Linked DNA regions of Arabidopsis thaliana. The protein of the gene in region 1 interacts with the protein of each later gene in a pairwise test. Each region holds a gene or a part of one and is shown in the gene's direction. Other genes may lie near its edges. The genes, in order: HB20, AT3G21330, AT4G35610 and WRKY8.

Region 1 (4,490 bases):
ACCACAACATCGATATCGATCGAGCCGACAAAAGAAAAAAAATTATGTGAACATTCCTCTTCTTTCTTTTTTGGTTTAAATGTTAACATTCCTCTTCTTTCTTTTTTTGTTTAAATTTGAAGAATCCTCTTTCTCTCTCACAATCACACGAATCTTGTCTTCTTTTCTCTCCGTCTCTTTCGATACTTGGCTTCAATCCTGTGACGTCCTGTTCTATTGTGCCTTAATCGGGTAATCTAAAACAGAACATACACTATCAGTTTTTTTTCGTGCCCTGCTTCTCGAAGTTTCCGATTGTGTGGTTGGTTGATACATATCTCATTGATTATCTTTGTTACTGTTACTTTCATCTCTTATCTCATTCAATTATAATCTAGGGTTCTTACTTCTTCTTTCTTCCCTCTCCGCTAACTATTTGGCCTGGACACCTTTTTTATTTTTTTTATTTGAATCATTATAGTAATCGTAGCTTTGTAGATTTCTTGCTGTATAAATCTCTAGAAAATCGCTCAACGGTTCACGGAATGTGATTCAAGAATCTTGTTTATGTTTGTTCTTTGATTTAGGTATCTAGGTTCGTGTGAGAAAACAGAACAATATAATGTATCCTTGTGGTTACGTTGCTCAAGTCACCAACTTGTCTCCTCAAGCCACTGAGAAAGATGTTCATAGGTTCTTCTCTCACTGTGGTATCGTCGAGCTCGTTGAAATCACCGGGTAACAACAACGTTCATTGTTCAGTAAATTATTAATCATTCTTGAATCTGTTTATATTTTGTTTCATGTCTCCATGGATTTCAGGTGCCAAGGGGATGCATTAACGGCTTATGTAACCTTCAGAGATGCGTATGCTCTGGATATGGCTGTGTTACTTAGCGTAAGTCCCTTAATTAGCTAGAAATTTCCAGTATGATCTTCTTGGCATTGATTTTAATGTTGATCTTCAGGGAGCTACGATCGTTGATCAAACCGTTTGGATATCGGTCTACGGTGTCTATTTACATGAATCTAACAATCTCAGACAAGAAGAAGACTATAGTGTTACGGTAACATTAAAAACAATACTTACTAGGTTACTTTAGGTTATAAGCCAAAGATTCTCGAAAATGTTTCTTTGTAGGTGACTCGTTCAGACGCGTTTGCTTCATCGCCTGGAGAGGCCATAACCGTGGCTCAACAAGTTGTGCAGACGATGTTAGCTAAAGGCTACGTTTTAAGCAAAGACGCGATTGGTAAAGCCAAAGCTTTGGATGAGTCTCAGAGATTTTCAAGCTTGGTAGCGACCAAATTGGCAGAGATCAGCCATTACCTTGGCCTCACACAGAACATTCAGTCGAGTATGGAACTCGTGAGATCAGCGGACGAGAAGTATCATTTCTCGGATTTCACTAAATCCGCGGTTCTTGTCACGGGCACAGCTGCTGTAGCCGCAGCCACCATTACAGGGAAAGTGGCTGCAGCTGCAGCGACTAGTGTGGTCAACAGTCGTTACTTTGCTAATGGGGCTTTATGGTTCTCAGATGCTTTGGGCCGGGCTGCAAAAGCAGCGGCCCATATCGGTGGAGGAGGAAGCAATTGATGTAAAAAGTCTTTGGGCTTCCTTGGAAAACATAAATAAATGATATGTGAGGTTTTAAAGCATAAAAGGTGTTGTGAAAAGAAAAAGAAAAAAAAAACCATCATGAAGATATGATTAGTAACGTTACATGATCGAAAATATTTGAGGCAGAAACTATAAAATAACTTTATTACATGAACTGGAGAATATATATGAAATATAATAATAAGCCTAAAGCTTTTAAAATATTAAGGATGGGTCCTAGAAACCTCCCTAGCTTGATCCTTTCCTCATTCTTTCTCTCTCTTTCTCTTATATGAGAGGTTGATGAGATCCACAAGAAACACCTAACTCATTTGATAGTGATTTCCAAATCTGCAAACAACAAAGTATATTTGATCATCACTATACTGATTTCACAATCCATTAATCACTGATAGGTTTTTGGTGGAATACATACATGTATGTGTTTGATCCAACAACAGAAGCTGGATTGAGATTAGAGATGGCGTTTCCTCAACATGGTTTTATGTTCCAACAACTTCATGAAGACAACAGTCAAGATCAGCTCCCTTCTTGTCCTCCTCATCTCTTCAATGGTACTATACTCTCTCTTTCTCTCACTATTTCTCCACATAAATAGATTTGAGTCATGAATTCTGTTGGTGTATATAGGAGGAGGAAACTACATGATGAACAGATCTATGTCTTTAATGAACGTGCAAGAAGATCATAATCAAACCTTGGATGAGGAGAATCTATCAGACGATGGGGCACATACTATGCTGGGAGAGAAGAAGAAGAGGCTGCAATTAGAGCAAGTTAAGGCATTAGAGAAGAGCTTTGAGCTTGGTAACAAGCTGGAGCCAGAGAGGAAGATACAACTAGCTAAAGCATTAGGGATGCAACCAAGACAGATCGCGATTTGGTTTCAAAACAGGAGAGCTAGGTGGAAGACTAGACAGCTCGAGAGAGATTATGATTCACTCAAGAAACAGTTTGAGTCTCTTAAATCCGACAATGCTTCTCTACTTGCCTATAACAAGAAACTCCTTGCTGAGGTATGTATCTATATAAGTAAGTATATATGTGTGTTTATATAGTAAATAAGGTGTTTAATTCAACTTTCATTTCTAATTTGATTGTGTTTGTTTTTTTCTTTGGTTTTTTTATTTTTGGTTTTGCACTAATAGTAATAACCAACGTAAAATAAATCTAGGACTACAAATATTTTTCTGATTATTGGCTTGGATTGGTACTATTTATGTAGTATATATATATGTGTATATATATCAGTGTATATATATATATATATGTATGTATCTTGTGTGTATTAAAGTCGTTTAATACGAAATGCAATAGATTATTGTTAGGCACATGATCCAACACTATAAGATGTTTGTCAAAAGACAGTAGGTGTTTTGTTTATTAATAAAAAGGATTCTTGATCAATATTTACAATTTAATTAATACATTCCCATATGACTATCAAGTAATGGCATGTGTGCGCTAACCAAATTTGACAAGAATACTGATTTTTATATCATATCATTTTTGTGTGTTTTAAATGATTTTACTACTTATTGAAATGTAATAGTTACAAGATTTTCAAAAATTACTTAAGCTAAGTATATGTAAATATATAATTTACATATATAGTCTTACAGTTTATCTATTTTAAGTTATTAGTCATTTTAAAAATATTTTGTTAATTTAAATTATATATAATTATGTTTATTTTAATGATATATAGAAATGATAATTTTTAATATCTGAATTTCTAAAACTTAACATTTGAATTGTGTGTGATGATGGTTAAAGGTAATGGCTTTAAAGAACAAAGAATGTAATGAAGGAAACATAGTAAAGAGAGAAGCAGAAGCTTCATGGAGCAACAACGGAAGCACAGAGAATAGTTCAGACATCAATCTGGAGATGCCTAGAGAGACCATTACAACACATGTGAACACGATCAAAGACCTATTCCCTTCATCGATTCGATCATCTGCACATGATGATGATCATCATCAGAATCATGAAATAGTTCAAGAAGAAAGCCTTTGTAACATGTTTAATGGCATTGATGAAACGACGCCGGCTGGTTACTGGGCATGGTCTGACCCAAACCACAACCACCACCACCACCAGTTCAACTGATTCATGATTCTAAAGCTCAAAAAAAAGTCATCAGCACGCATCAAGACAAATGATCATAATCATCATCATCATATCATCAGGAGAAGATCAAGACACAATTCTTCTCTTTGGAATTATGTTATTGCTACTCATTTCAATTTAAATTAATGGAGCATTTTGTTTTCTTTGGGTTTGTAGAGCATTGGTGTATAGTGCGAAAATTTGTTGTTGCTTTAATTTAATAAAAATCATAAAGTTCTTTGCATTCGGCCGTAACATTGTTAGATGTATGTGGATTGATCACAGTTTACAATATATGTAAATGGTTCAAAAAAGCATAACCACTCTCTTTTACTTCCCGAACAAAACTCTCCTCTAACCAATTGAGTGAGATTAAAAATCATGATTTTTCTCAACTTATATGTCCAATTTTATATATATATGATGGGTTGGTACAAATTTATTAAGAAAGTAAGGATATAAAAGTGAGAAAGATTCATATGCATGTGACTTCGAGTGGGATTCCAGCTCTGTCTTTGACATAACATGATCCATGACTAATATTATATGCAAAGATTATTTTAATATATATTTTATATTTTATGATTTTATCTTTGCAAGTTGCAATTTAAATCTTAATGGATTAATGGAACCATTAACTTTTTATTATAAAAAAAAAAAAAAACTATGCCATGCGTCACGTAGTTGCATGTAATACCAAATACAGTATTCACGTTCACTTCATCTACATAGACATATCTATTCTTTGTTGGTTCAAAATTGTTTTGAGTGAAAT
Region 2 (4,414 bases), 7.4 Mb from region 1:
ATCATTTACGAAGAAAAACTAGTTAATAATTACCAACAAATTTGTAGTAACTATAACCGATTAATTTGACATTGCCAAACATCAAAAAAAAAAAATTGTTAACTTTAAGATGATCTTTTACTATTATAGACGGATCACCGACTTATGTGACGGTTAAACTACTAATGGATTAGTGTGGATTAGTGACGACTTTGAATAAAAATAGGAACTAGAAAGTTATCAATATTGTAAAAGAATGTTCAAAATTTACAATTAGTATCTCAAATTATAAATACTACTACAAATTGTTCTTACATAGTAAAGATATAAGTTCATACAAATATACAATAAAACTATATTGGCGTTATTGGTTTAGGTTCTCGAATGTTGGTTATTTCAAGCCTAAGGAGGAACGACTTGGGAAATAAGAAGCGACTAATAATGTACTTCTCTACTGGTATATGGAAATTACAAAGTTTTCGAAAACTACTCCAAAAAGTGTTCCACATCGATTATATATGATATCATGATTATATATAATCAAATAAATCCACAAAAAGAGTGTTTGGTATTTTTATATAACACGTTCTAGCCAAAAGAAATGAAGATAAACTATACAAGAAAGTGTTGCTAGATAGATCGAGATGAGGATATTGATCATTATTGACTGATGATGATAGCGAAAAGGTAAATTAAACAAACACATAGAAAAGAATAAGAAAATGGTATAGATAATAGAATCATGAATTACTTTTACAGCTTGATCATTTTTAAAATAAAATATACAATCAACATTAATCTGTTATTCACCAAAAAATAAAAGATCCAAAACCTAAAACTTTCTTTCGATCTCTCCCTTAAAGTTTTCAGTTCGCACGACGCTAAAAGGATTGTCAGTCCTTTTTCTCTGCTCAAGCACTCGTAGATTTTTAATTACATATCCCTTTTCAGTATTCATCAAGTGCATAATCATATAGTCTATGATTTTTATCAAGTATTATATCTATTTTCTAGGGTTTCAAAAAAAGATGCTCTTCGATTGCAGAAACTATTATGCACACCAACCTCATTTAAATAAATATATAATTCAATCGTCTAGATTATTTTCTATATTTTAATACAAATCATTCGGTTAGCTTTAGGTTAATGAATCAGTGATCTCACTTTTCTCTTTGCGCGTGTGACATTATTTTTGACCATGAAAAATTAAATAATTTTGGATTAAGAAATTATTAAATAATCCGGTTTAGGAGATGTTTTAAGTTTAGATTCGGGAGTGTTGTAAACTCTAACGTTTAGTTTCGGTGACAACTTTTAAATTCAATTTTGATAGTCGTGTATCTATTATCCAACAAAATCTCACTTAGAGATATCAGATATATCGCAAAATTAATCGAGATCAACTTCAATAGTTTCATCTTCTACGAAAGTAAAGTTGTCGCCGCCGGCGTCTTCAATTTAACGTGTCGATAACGTTCCATATTCGAGTTTGCATATGCATGTCACTGGAAATAATAGTTAAATCATCTAAATCGCATCCATTAATGATTTGATCATCATAAAATTTGGTAAAAAAATTACCTAACTCAAAAGTAAAATATAAAAATTAATCGTTTGAGTAGTTAATTAGTTTACCGGTATACTAGTTAAAAGTTTTTTTCCTTTGACGGCGCTCATATATATGTTTTAAAGTATATCAAAATAGGGATTTAATTCTTAAAGTTACACTAATCCTAATTCTTAAAGTTAACCATCCATACCAATTTACAGAAGTACAGAACTAGTGCTTGATACAGAGGAACAATTGATCTCATCGAAAGTTGGGACCTTTTTAAAAATAATACTATTATATATATATAATAAATATACAAATATATTTAATATTTATTCTATATATAAATATGTGCATAATAACAAATCTGAGTATGAATAGTAGGAGGGGTGTATAGGGCTTTCAAGTCTTTTCTTACAGAAACTATCTATAACTCTAGCAGAGAGCTCATTATAGAACAGAACAGAAACAGAGCTTTCTAAGTCTACAGCACAGAAATAAACCTCATTTACAGACTGTTTTACTTTCTTTCCTTTTTGAGCATTTCTTCTTTCTGTTTCTTTCCTCTGTTTTCTCTTTCTTTCCCTTTTTGGGTGTCATCTCTTTAAGACAGAAGAAACGTTTCTCAGAGTTTCCTGTGAACTCATCTGTTTGTTCTCTTCTTCCGGTTTCACTTTTTCATGTCCTGCCGTTATTACAACGAGGTTGGTTTAAAGATCAGCTTTTATCATTTTTCCCTGCATGTAACAAGAAATATTTAGGTTTCATGTCTGTTTACAAATATGCTCTGTTTCTAAGTATGCCTCTCACATTTGTCTTTGTTTTGGGTGTTTTTAGGATTGTGTTTGATCCGATGGAAGGATTGGAATCTGTGTACGCTCAAGCTATGTATGGAATGACACGAGAGAGCAAAATCATGGAGCATCAAGGATCAGATTTGATTTGGGGAGGAAATGAGCTAATGGCTCGAGAACTCTGTTCTTCTTCTTCTTATCACCACCAACTCATTAATCCGAATCTTAGCAGCTGTTTCATGTCTGATCTTGGAGTCTTAGGTGAGATTCAACAGCAGCAACATGTTGGCAACAGAGCTAGCTCGATAGATCCATCATCACTCGATTGTTTGTTATCTGCGACGTCGAATAGCAACAACACCTCGACGGAGGACGATGAAGGAATATCTGTGCTTTTCTCAGATTGTCAGACTCTTTGGAGCTTTGGTGGAGTCTCATCTGCAGAGTCTGAGAACAGAGAGATCACTACTGAGACGACAACAACGATAAAGCCTAAGCCTTTGAAGAGAAACAGAGGAGGAGATGGAGGAACTACTGAGACTACAACAACAACAACAAAACCTAAGTCTTTGAAGAGAAACAGAGGAGACGAGACAGGAAGTCACTTTAGTCTTGTTCATCCTCAAGATGATTCGGAGAAAGGAGGTTTCAAGCTTATATACGATGAGAATCAATCGAAATCAAAGAAACCAAGAACAGAGAAAGAACGAGGCGGTTCTTCGAACATTAGTTTCCAACATTCAACTTGTTTGTCTGACAATGTCGAGCCCGATGCTGAGGCGATTGCACAAATGAAGGAGATGATATACAGAGCGGCTGCATTTAGACCGGTGAATTTCGGGTTAGAGATTGTGGAGAAGCCTAAGAGGAAGAACGTCAAGATATCGACGGATCCTCAAACGGTTGCAGCGAGACAGAGAAGGGAGAGGATAAGTGAGAAGATTAGGGTTTTACAAACATTGGTTCCAGGTGGGACGAAGATGGATACTGCATCAATGCTTGATGAAGCTGCTAATTATCTCAAGTTCCTTAGAGCACAAGTAAAAGCTTTAGAAAACTTGAGACCCAAGCTTGACCAAACCAATCTCTCTTTCTCTTCTGCTCCTACATCGTTTCCATTATTCCACCCATCTTTTCTTCCATTGCAAAATCCTAATCAAATCCATCATCCAGAGTGTTGACAGATTATAAACTTTTGAGTTTCATCATCATCAACAGAATCATGGCGTCTTGATTGTTTTAGCAGTTCTCAAGAAAGGCAACTTCTGTGACAAGGGTGGTGTCGGGCAGTGTTGTTTACACTTTCCAGTCTTTGTTTTGCATTTCTTTTTATATAAAGTTTGTATTTTATATAGAATCTGTGGAATTCGAGGGTTGAAATATTGTGAAAAACAGAGCCGCAAGAGGTTAATTACAGTCTCTGCAATATTTTCAACCTTTTATTACTTTATTAGAGTAAAGATAGCGTAAGATAATTGCAATTATGAAGCGATGATTATCAACAAAAGTGTTTAGAAAGTGCCTCCATCTCTCTCTACTTAAAAAAGTTTAGCTTTACTTGAAGAACTCTTTTGGAGTACTAAAATATAAAATTAATATTCATCCTCTTTTTTTGGTACTCAATAAACTCTGTCTGTCTCTGTAAAATATGTATAAATTTCGTATATCTATAATGCAAGGTTATTTAATTTGTGTTACTTATCCATATAAAAAAACGATTTTAGTGGAAGAACTTATTATTGTCTTATAATTTTATTTTCACATAAGTGTTTTTTTGTCTGGCTCAAATACAAAACATAGTTTGGATGGAGTTTAGTAAGAGTTAAGAATGTTGAAGGCGTGCACCTTGAGAATATAACTTCACCTGACTCGTACACCCTAAAATGCTCACCACATGCTTCTCTATCTCACTCTCCATCTTTTTATTCTTCTTTTTTGTCTTTTGGTTTTTGTCTTATTTCGTCCCTAAATCTCCTTAATCACATTCTCTTTCGTTTAATAGTATTTTATGAAGTTCTTTTGATGGATGTGTTTTTTTGACTTGGGTACATTGACTATCAACTTTTTATTTATTCGCAATAACACTTAC
Region 3 (3,542 bases), on another chromosome or scaffold:
TTTCAGCTTCTTAGTCTCTTCCTGAGATCTGCAGAAATTCAAATAACATCAGATCTCTCTTTCTCAGCAAAAGAAACGTTTTTGAAAGCTTTAAACTTTATTAACCTTGAAATTGACGGATGCAATGAATCAAGCTTCTTCTTGTCACAGCTTTCTTGTTTTCTCCTATTGAAGAAAATAATCATCAAAATCCCAAAACCAAGAATCAAAGAGACAAACTTTAGGATTCGAGAGAGTTAAGTATATTACTGAGATAAGCCTCTTCTCTTGTTAACAACACAAGGATAAGCTTTTGCACCAACGAGATTGTGATTAATCACACCCAATGCTCTCCTGTTCTGTCTCTTCATCTCTACACCGAATTTTCTGCTTCTCTTATCATCATCTGACAAAACCCAGAAACAAAACAACATCAGACTCTCTGTTCGTCAGACCTATAATTCTCAGATTTTTCAAAGGCGTTTTACTACTACTACCTTGAAGAATCTCTGTAATGGGTTTGACAACGAGATTACGATTGTTCTCCTCTGGATTAACCATTGTTTATTTTACTCGATTTGATAGTGCTCCTGGAGAAGAATCTAGAAGAAGAAGAAGAGCATCAAACGAAGAAGGATCTCTCTTCTCTCTGTGACTCTGTGTATACGTCTGATGCAATTGAATGAATCAGTAGGAGTCAGAGAAGGGGATGAAATAAGCGAGAGAGAGAAATTAAATCAAATCAATTAAAATTAAAGTTGCTACCTTTTTTTATTTTATTTTTTTTTATTATTGAAGGAAATAGCAACGGCTAGGTGATTAAGATGACCGTTGGATCATGAAGGAAACGATTTGTTTCTAAGTCTGTCTAAACCCAACGGTAACTTTTTTGGCCATGTGGTGTGTGTGGTGGCTCTCTCTTTCTCATTTCAAATTTATTATTCCTTTTTTGTGTTTTTTTTGTTGCCTTTTTCAGACAAAGAAGGCTCGTTACCACTAGCCAGAGCCTCCGTAAGGCGCGGCTCTAAGATCTTAAAGTCAACATATTGATTCTTTAATCTTAATCTTAGCTTATTAATCTGTGTTTTACTACAGAGCTAAGAATTGCTCTCTTTCCTAAGAATTATTGTTACCGAGAATTATGCTGACTCTGTAGTAAGTGTTCTTGCCATTTCTTTTTTTTTGGTCAAGCTTTTTAAAAATATTTAATTTAGAGAATATCAAAAATTAGGCTAGATGATTCTGGTCATAGTTATTGTAATTGAATTTCCTTAGAATGGTCAAAAGGTGATTGTGTTTCTAATTTCTTATTCAAATATGTGAAATATTTTAGATAACTTTTTATATCTGCATTTTTAGAAAACTGTTAAACGTTTAGTTAGAGTCTAGTGTGTAGATATTATTCAAAATAATATTTAAGACAGTTGCGGCTTCGCTATATCATATATCACACATCAATGGTTACATTAGTTTTTTTTGGTGTTGCAATTTGTTGTATTTGTGATTTATTACATAGCTTCAAGAGCTTCCTTCTGACATTGAAAACTATGTTTACCGGTATACATCAATGTTTAAATTTTAAATAGTAAAAACATATAGAATAAATAAAGAATGGCTAATAAAAATGATAATGTTTCCACCCAAAAAAAAAAAATGATAATGTTATTGTAATAATAAATAAAGAAAAAATATGTCAAAACAAAAGTTTACAAGTCACGTCATTGTCGGATGTCACATGCATAATAGTATTAGTGCAGTTGCAACGACTCTTGCAATCTCGATGACCAAAAACGCACGAGAAACGATTACAAACAGAAAACAAGAAAAACTCTTGAACCAACCTACCAAGTACGAATAACTTATGGGCTAGTAATGGGCTTTATACGATATTAAGCCCAAATTTACGTAATATCAGAGTTTAGGACGGACCAATCACAAACGACGGATGCAAATCTTCAAACGAAAAGGCGGGAGAGGAATTAACTGTCATAACCGCCATGGTTCAGAGAAAACTTTATATAAGGGCTAATTCAATGTCGTTTTGAAACATCAATCCCTAGACTAAAGTGCGAAAATAGTATGAGTAATCCGAACCCAGAGAAAACGAAAGTGGATGTTACTGAGGAAGAGAAAGAGGAATCTGATGAGCAATGGAGCGATGAAGAAACCAATATGAGAGAAATTGTTCTCGGCCTCCCTGCTTTGAATATCAGCAGTAGAATATTTGGAGAGAGTAGTAGTGTCGTTGAGGAAGATGCAGAAAAAGCGCGTTTGAATGAGCAAGCGGTTCTTGCGGCGGGGTTGATTTTGGCTGCGGCAGAGGAAGCGGTTATGAAAGGAATGAATGAGGGAAGTGGGAGTGGTGGGAAGAAAAAGAGTAGACCAAGGATATCTACGCAAACCGATGACGAAGGGGATGGTTTGGGTGAAGGAGAAGCGAAAAAGCCGAAGAAGAAAGCAAAGGAATTGACTCATCCACCGAAAGGACCACCGGTTTGTCATATCTGTGGAAGAGGTTTCGGTTCGTGGAAGGCAGTGTTTGGGCATATGAGGGCTCATAGAGATAGAAACTATCAAGGGTTTCTTCCTCCTCCTACATTCTCTGCGGGGGCTGAAAGGTTTGTGATTCCCGGGCTAAGATCTGCTTTTACTATTGCCACTGTCGGAGGAGGAAGTTCTGGTGGTGTAGCGGTAGGAGGAAGAAGTTCCGGTGATTTTTCTGGCAGTGGTGGTGGTGATGCGCCAGGATCTGAAGGTGGGAGAGGTTCAGGTATTGATTTGAATGTGGAACCTGTGGAGCAAGTAGAGGAAGCGACTGAATCTGGATGTATTGCCAAGTTCGATCTTAATAAATCTCCACCAAAAGATGAAGAGGAAGAGGACAAACCCAAGTGAAAGATTTTTTCATACTATTTAATAATTTACTATAACACATAGTATAGTTATTATTTTCATATTTCATATTTGATATATTTATCTAACACATTATGTTGATTCTTTGAATTAGTAATGTTTTGCAACAATGAAGAAAAGGAAGATCTTGTTAAAGGACCTAATATTAACTTTTATTTCTTAACACCATTTTAATCTGCAACAATGTGAAAAAGTACAAATAAATTTATATAAATATTCAACATCAAAATGAATAGTAAACAAAAAACATACAACTTCCAGTGCATGCAAATAATGCAGAGGAAAAATGAATGTGTAAGATCATAAAAGGAAACCTTTGTCAGGATCTAAATGATTGAAATGAAGATAATACTTTGTCCAAATCCCACTATAATTAAATCTGAAAATAGCAATTGGCAATAAAATATTCTTCTCAGAGCCATCAAATGTTCACCAATCTTTGAAAAACGACATCATTATCCTCTTTTTGTATGAAACTTTCTCAAACTTTTTACCAATATCAACTCTGTAAACATAGACTTTAAAAAAATATATATAGAATGAAAATATTTATCTAGAATTACAAAAGAAACAGTATTATACACAAAACCTTTCAAGAATTAATTCAAAGAGAATGAAACAATAAAGACTCTAAAATCATTTCATACCGC
Region 4 (5,186 bases), on another chromosome or scaffold:
CCCAATTAAATTTGCATTGTATTCAAAACAACTAGCTAGTAGTTATTGAAGTTTTGGTCCTTTGAGCATCATGGCTGAGTTGCTTTAATTTCTTTGGGCCATCGAGAATCTTGAATCGTAGTTTTGTCTTGAAAACGTTTTTCATCATTATTCGCATTTTTCGGAAACATTAGAATTGCAATTTAAATCTTTATATCATTTGTTTTTTTGATAAAGGGACAAGGGTTAGCAAACTTTTTAATCAAGTATTCCTATCAGCTGCATGCATAATGCTTTTTTTCAGATCGCATGAAGCTGAGATTCGTAATTTGAACAAAAAAATCCAGACACATGAACAGTTTATAAGTATACATTATTATATAGGTATAAATCTATAAAAGGAAAATAGGTATTTGACTGTACCTATGTAAAGTCAATTTCTGTTCACTTCTCATTGTCATTTTCGGTTAGGAATCATGTCTCTCTCTCTCTGTTTTTTTCTTTTTCATTTCCTATATATTTTCGATCATGTTTCACATTTTTATCCCAAAATAAAATAATTTGTTTTGTTGACAAAAAAAAAATGTATTAAATATTAAAGCATTGATATTTGACCGTAGTTCATATATTTAGTTATTTCTATTACTCTAACGTTCCTTTAATGTTTGGGGAAAGTTCTAATGTGAAAACTGAAAAGAGATTCTGCAGCGTGAATCGTGATGACGTTGGTAAATCGTCAGTATTTCGATCATATTTCTCTTTTCAACAGATAAAATCTAAACCTATACATAATGCAAAATGATTCATATAATCTTTCTTTAACGTCCTTGCTATTAGCCAAGCTTATTACAATATGAATCACTTTAATAAAGGATTTAAGCACCTGATAAGAAATTTCATTTTGTATATTGTTTTTTATAAAAATTAAGATTTTCATGTAAATTGGTTGTAACTAAGGTCGAAATTACACGGGAATATAATGTAATGTATAACATTGTCGCATTTGCACCTTGACTTTGGTGGAATATTAAATTGATAGACTAACGTCTGATATTTATTAGGGTTTGAGAACACAAATCCAGTAGTCCACCACGTGCCAGGTAATGTGTCGGTTACGGTCAAATGCCGGTGCCAATAATTACACGTGTCATCCTAATAACCCCACAATTCTCTTTGACTTTTTGACTTGGCTCTTCCTTCTTCACATAAAGATGACCGGAGACTGACTATTTCCGGTTACCGGTTAACTATTAGTCAGCATCATCGCCTTCTTCTACAACAAAGCTTGTTCCCACCTTATTCCACAATCTAAAAAATGGTAAATAACTAAACATTTACTTTTAAGACCCAAACATCTTTAAAAAGGTAAAAAAATAACCATCTTTTCAGGTTTTACTTGGTCAGAGTCAGACTTAAAAGAAGTTTCTTTATGATGATAAAATGGCTTTTCCTTTTATGTTCATGTTCACATTAAACGTTTAAGAAACAAAATGACAAGTATATGTTTCCTCACTCGAGGCCACTTTTGTAACTCTCGATTTGGGAGGTAAAACGCATCTTGTCAACTCAACTTTATAAAAGTTATCATTATTTTAAAAATACAATAAAAGTCATTCAAACCCCAAAACTCTTTTTGAATCATTCACACTTCAATACTCTTTCATTCAACCTTAGATTTGTATATATCTAAGACAAAATAAAATATGCTAAAACGCCATTTACTATATTTATTTAGCAAGACATAAAATAATATATATTTTCAAAAGGCATAAATACGAGAAGACCCAAAAGTCTTAACACCAAATTTAGACCGACTAAAAAATTCATTAACGTAAAAAAGTTCTTGTTTCTTTCTTTCTTTTCTTCTTCTTCACGCTCCTCTCTTTGTCATTTTCTTTTTCTTTCTTTTTGGTTTAAGTTTTTTCTCTTTGTTCTTCGTCATGTCTCATGAAATCAAAGATCTTAACAACTATCACTACACTTCATCGTATAATCATTACAATATCAACAACCAAAATATGATTAATCTCCCTTACGTTTCTGGTCCATCTGCTTATAATGCAAACATGATCTCATCATCACAAGTAGGTTTTGATCTACCCTCGAAGAACTTGAGTCCTCAAGGAGCCTTCGAGTTGGGTTTCGAGCTTTCTCCATCTTCTTCTGACTTTTTTAATCCTTCCCTCGATCAAGAGAACGGTTTGTATAATGCTTATAATTATAATAGTAGTCAAAAGAGTCATGAAGTTGTCGGTGATGGTTGTGCAACCATTAAGAGTGAAGTTAGGGTTTCAGCATCTCCTTCTTCAAGTGAGGCCGATCATCATCCAGGAGAAGATTCCGGCAAGATCCGGAAGAAAAGAGAAGTTCGCGATGGAGGAGAAGATGATCAACGCTCTCAGAAAGTGTAAGTTTCATAAGTGTTATCCTAATTAAATTACTTAGTTAAGCAAGATAAATATATTTAGAATTCACATGAATCATGATCAGTTTGACTAATTTCTTTTGCTTTTATTTACCAAATAACAAAAAAAAAACTTCTCTGATCTTAATTACGAGAAAGAAAAAAAAACACATTTCTTGTTTTTCACTTTGAGGCCCATATCAAATATAATTATTTTCATTGCTTGAAAATTATTTTCATGAACTAACTAAGCAATACTGATTTCAATTTTTTTAGACTAACATAAAGTATATAGTTTGCATGCCATAAAATGACATCTTTAAGAACAACGTCGAGATTTAAATTTTGATAAAAGTATATATGTACTTGTGAATATTTAATTTTACATTAATATTTTTAGGTAGAATTTAAGTTTCATAATTGAAAGAATGACAACTCAAGTTATTTCGTTCATATTTTTTCTGTAATACAATTTAATATTTGAGATTCTATCCTGATTTTTGTTTTCAAAGATTATTTATTTCATTTGTTCGTACCTATAATTATTGATGTATAAATCTTATCCCTAAAGAAACCACTTAAACAAAAAGACGTGTCCCATTTATTTTTTGGCAGACTACACCTTAAGATTATTGTATTTCTTGTGTCATATGTCCTAACAATCATTTGATGCTTATCTTAGTTTAATATAGTTCAATGAATCAAAGTCAAATGTACGGTACGGTGCCATTAATTAAAGATGGTCCAACTTAGTTAAGTATTGATTTAATTGATCAGTAACATATGGTTCACCAGAGTTAAAACAAAGAAGAAAGAGGAGAAGAAAAAAGAGCCACGAGTCTCGTTCATGACTAAGACCGAAGTTGATCATCTCGAAGACGGCTATCGTTGGAGAAAGTATGGCCAAAAAGCAGTCAAAAACAGTCCTTATCCGAGGTAATTTATTCGGTCAATATATAATTTGTTAACTGATCGATTATTACATACGAAAATAGATTAAGTATGGCAAAATGTCGCAAAATGTAGTTTTGAGTTTAGCTTTTGGCTTTTTCAAATCTTAAGCATTATTTATCAATTTGAAAAACTAAAATAAACTGAACTTTTGTTTCTTTCACTTATCTCTCTCCAACCAAGGTCTAAGAATCCTTGAATATTGTATTTTAGTTTTGTTTATTGATGATTTGATCTTTTGTTTCAACTTAACTAATTCTGGATTTATATTTACATTTATATTTCAAACAATAATTTTCAAGTTACCAGAAATTTTAAAACAAGAACTTTTCTTATACCATCATGTGATTTGTTTTATTTTTTTGAAAATGCTATTATGATGGTTGCTCACATTCACATATACATATCATTCAATTTAATTATTCTTCTAATTATTTCAGTTTTGTTTTTCTTATATCATTTATTACACATCGATACAGATATTTCAGTTTTTTGGTCAAGTTCTTTGTGAAAAATTGTTTCCTGTATTTACCATTCATCATGATATGGACTCTAACATTGTTTGAAAAGTCCATCACTTAGCTTGTTTTATTATAACCTATAGATTATAAGTTTATAACTATATAACAAAGAAGAAAATTTAAATTTTGTAACCGACATTACAAGTCACACATGCTAAAACAATATACTATATTTCAATTACATGAACAGGAGTTACTATAGATGCACGACTCAGAAGTGCAACGTGAAGAAGAGAGTGGAGAGATCTTACCAAGACCCAACGGTCGTCATCACAACCTACGAGAGTCAACACAACCATCCGATCCCGACCAATCGTCGGACAGCAATGTTCTCTGGAACCACCGCATCTGATTATAACCCATCATCGTCTCCAATATTCTCCGATCTCATCATCAATACTCCAAGAAGCTTCTCAAATGATGATCTCTTCCGTGTGCCATACGCTAGTGTGAACGTGAACCCTAGTTATCATCAACAGCAACATGGATTTCATCAACAGGAGAGTGAGTTCGAGCTCTTGAAGGAGATGTTTCCTTCGGTTTTCTTCAAACAAGAGCCTTGATGATATAATATAATATAGAAACAATTTTTTTTCTGCTAAGAAATATAGAACAAAACTTGGATGCATAATAAGTGATGATAGTGTTATTTATTTTTTGCATGTATATATTATACATGTTTTGTTAACTAGCTATAGGATATACTGTAGTAATTAAGCATAAATATGGAGTCCCTTCGACTTATTACAATAATTTTTGTTATGGAGTAATTTTGTTACATGCATGCATATTGTATATGGAAGCAAAGATCCTTCATGGCTCTCTCTTTTCCATTCGTTGCTTTATATATTAACAATTAATGAGGAGAATGACATAACTTCATATCTAATATATAGTCGAATACTAAAGCAAATAAAACGTTTTGGGTGTTTGAAAGGAGATTTAGACTAGAAGGTATAATTAGAACGAACTGAAGAATATATGATCACAGCCTCACGTAAAATATAAAATGTATGAATGGATGTTTAATTAAAATGAATTTTGTACCTCATAGCATATATCTTAACATGCAATATATAAGATTTGTACCAAATCACTCACTCATTTCAACGAATTACTAGGTTTTTACATAGAAATTCATTTTAATTTCGTACGTCTCATGCGTCGTCCGACCACTTATTGATTATGCGTAAGAATTAAGGAACCAACCTAACGAGTGTGATCGTATATATTAGATATTCTCTCTGTTACATGAAGTTTGATTGATGTTTTGAGTTTTGCACACAAATTAAGATAAAATAACTTTTATATTATTGAATTATTACTTTCTT

Evidence for each region.
Region 2: the proteins of HB20 (region 1) and AT3G21330 interact in a two-hybrid assay, tested with the Arabidopsis thaliana proteins (one large-scale study listed by BioGRID).
Region 3: the proteins of HB20 (region 1) and AT4G35610 interact in a two-hybrid assay, tested with the Arabidopsis thaliana proteins (one large-scale study listed by BioGRID).
Region 4: the proteins of HB20 (region 1) and WRKY8 interact in a two-hybrid assay, tested with the Arabidopsis thaliana proteins (one large-scale study listed by BioGRID).

Annotation. Positions count from the first base shown.
Region 1 is NC_003074.8:71,581-76,070, forward strand, and holds HB20 (homeobox protein 20), read left to right. Parts: upstream 1-1,726; 5' UTR 1,727-2,018; coding exon 2,019-2,157; intron 2,158-2,233; coding exon 2,234-2,619; intron 2,620-3,379; coding exon 3,380-3,715; 3' UTR 3,716-3,959; downstream 3,960-4,490. Other genes in the region: AT3G01210 (RNA-binding (RRM/RBD/RNP motifs) family protein), read left to right, coding at 602-717, 802-877, 948-1,046, 1,121-1,579. UniProt on the Arabidopsis thaliana protein: Probable transcription factor.
Region 2 is NC_003074.8:7,505,336-7,509,749, forward strand, and holds AT3G21330 (basic helix-loop-helix (bHLH) DNA-binding superfamily protein), read left to right. Parts: upstream 1-1,904; 5' UTR 1,905-2,235; intron 2,236-2,368; 5' UTR 2,369-2,384; coding exon 2,385-3,506; 3' UTR 3,507-3,851; downstream 3,852-4,414.
Region 3 is NC_003075.7:16,898,742-16,902,283, reverse strand, and holds AT4G35610 (zinc finger (C2H2 type) family protein), read left to right. Parts: upstream 1-2,015; 5' UTR 2,016-2,058; coding exon 2,059-2,874; 3' UTR 2,875-3,028; downstream 3,029-3,542. Other genes in the region: CYCB2;2 (Cyclin B2;2), read right to left, coding at 1-28, 106-165, 250-385, 477-540.
Region 4 is NC_003076.8:18,800,635-18,805,820, reverse strand, and holds WRKY8 (WRKY DNA-binding protein 8), read left to right. Parts: upstream 1-1,764; 5' UTR 1,765-1,919; coding exon 1,920-2,386; intron 2,387-3,178; coding exon 3,179-3,319; intron 3,320-4,045; coding exon 4,046-4,418; 3' UTR 4,419-4,657; downstream 4,658-5,186. UniProt on the Arabidopsis thaliana protein: Transcription factor. Interacts specifically with the W box (5'-TTGAC[CT]-3'), a frequently occurring stress-responsive cis-acting element. Functions as a positive regulator of salt stress response.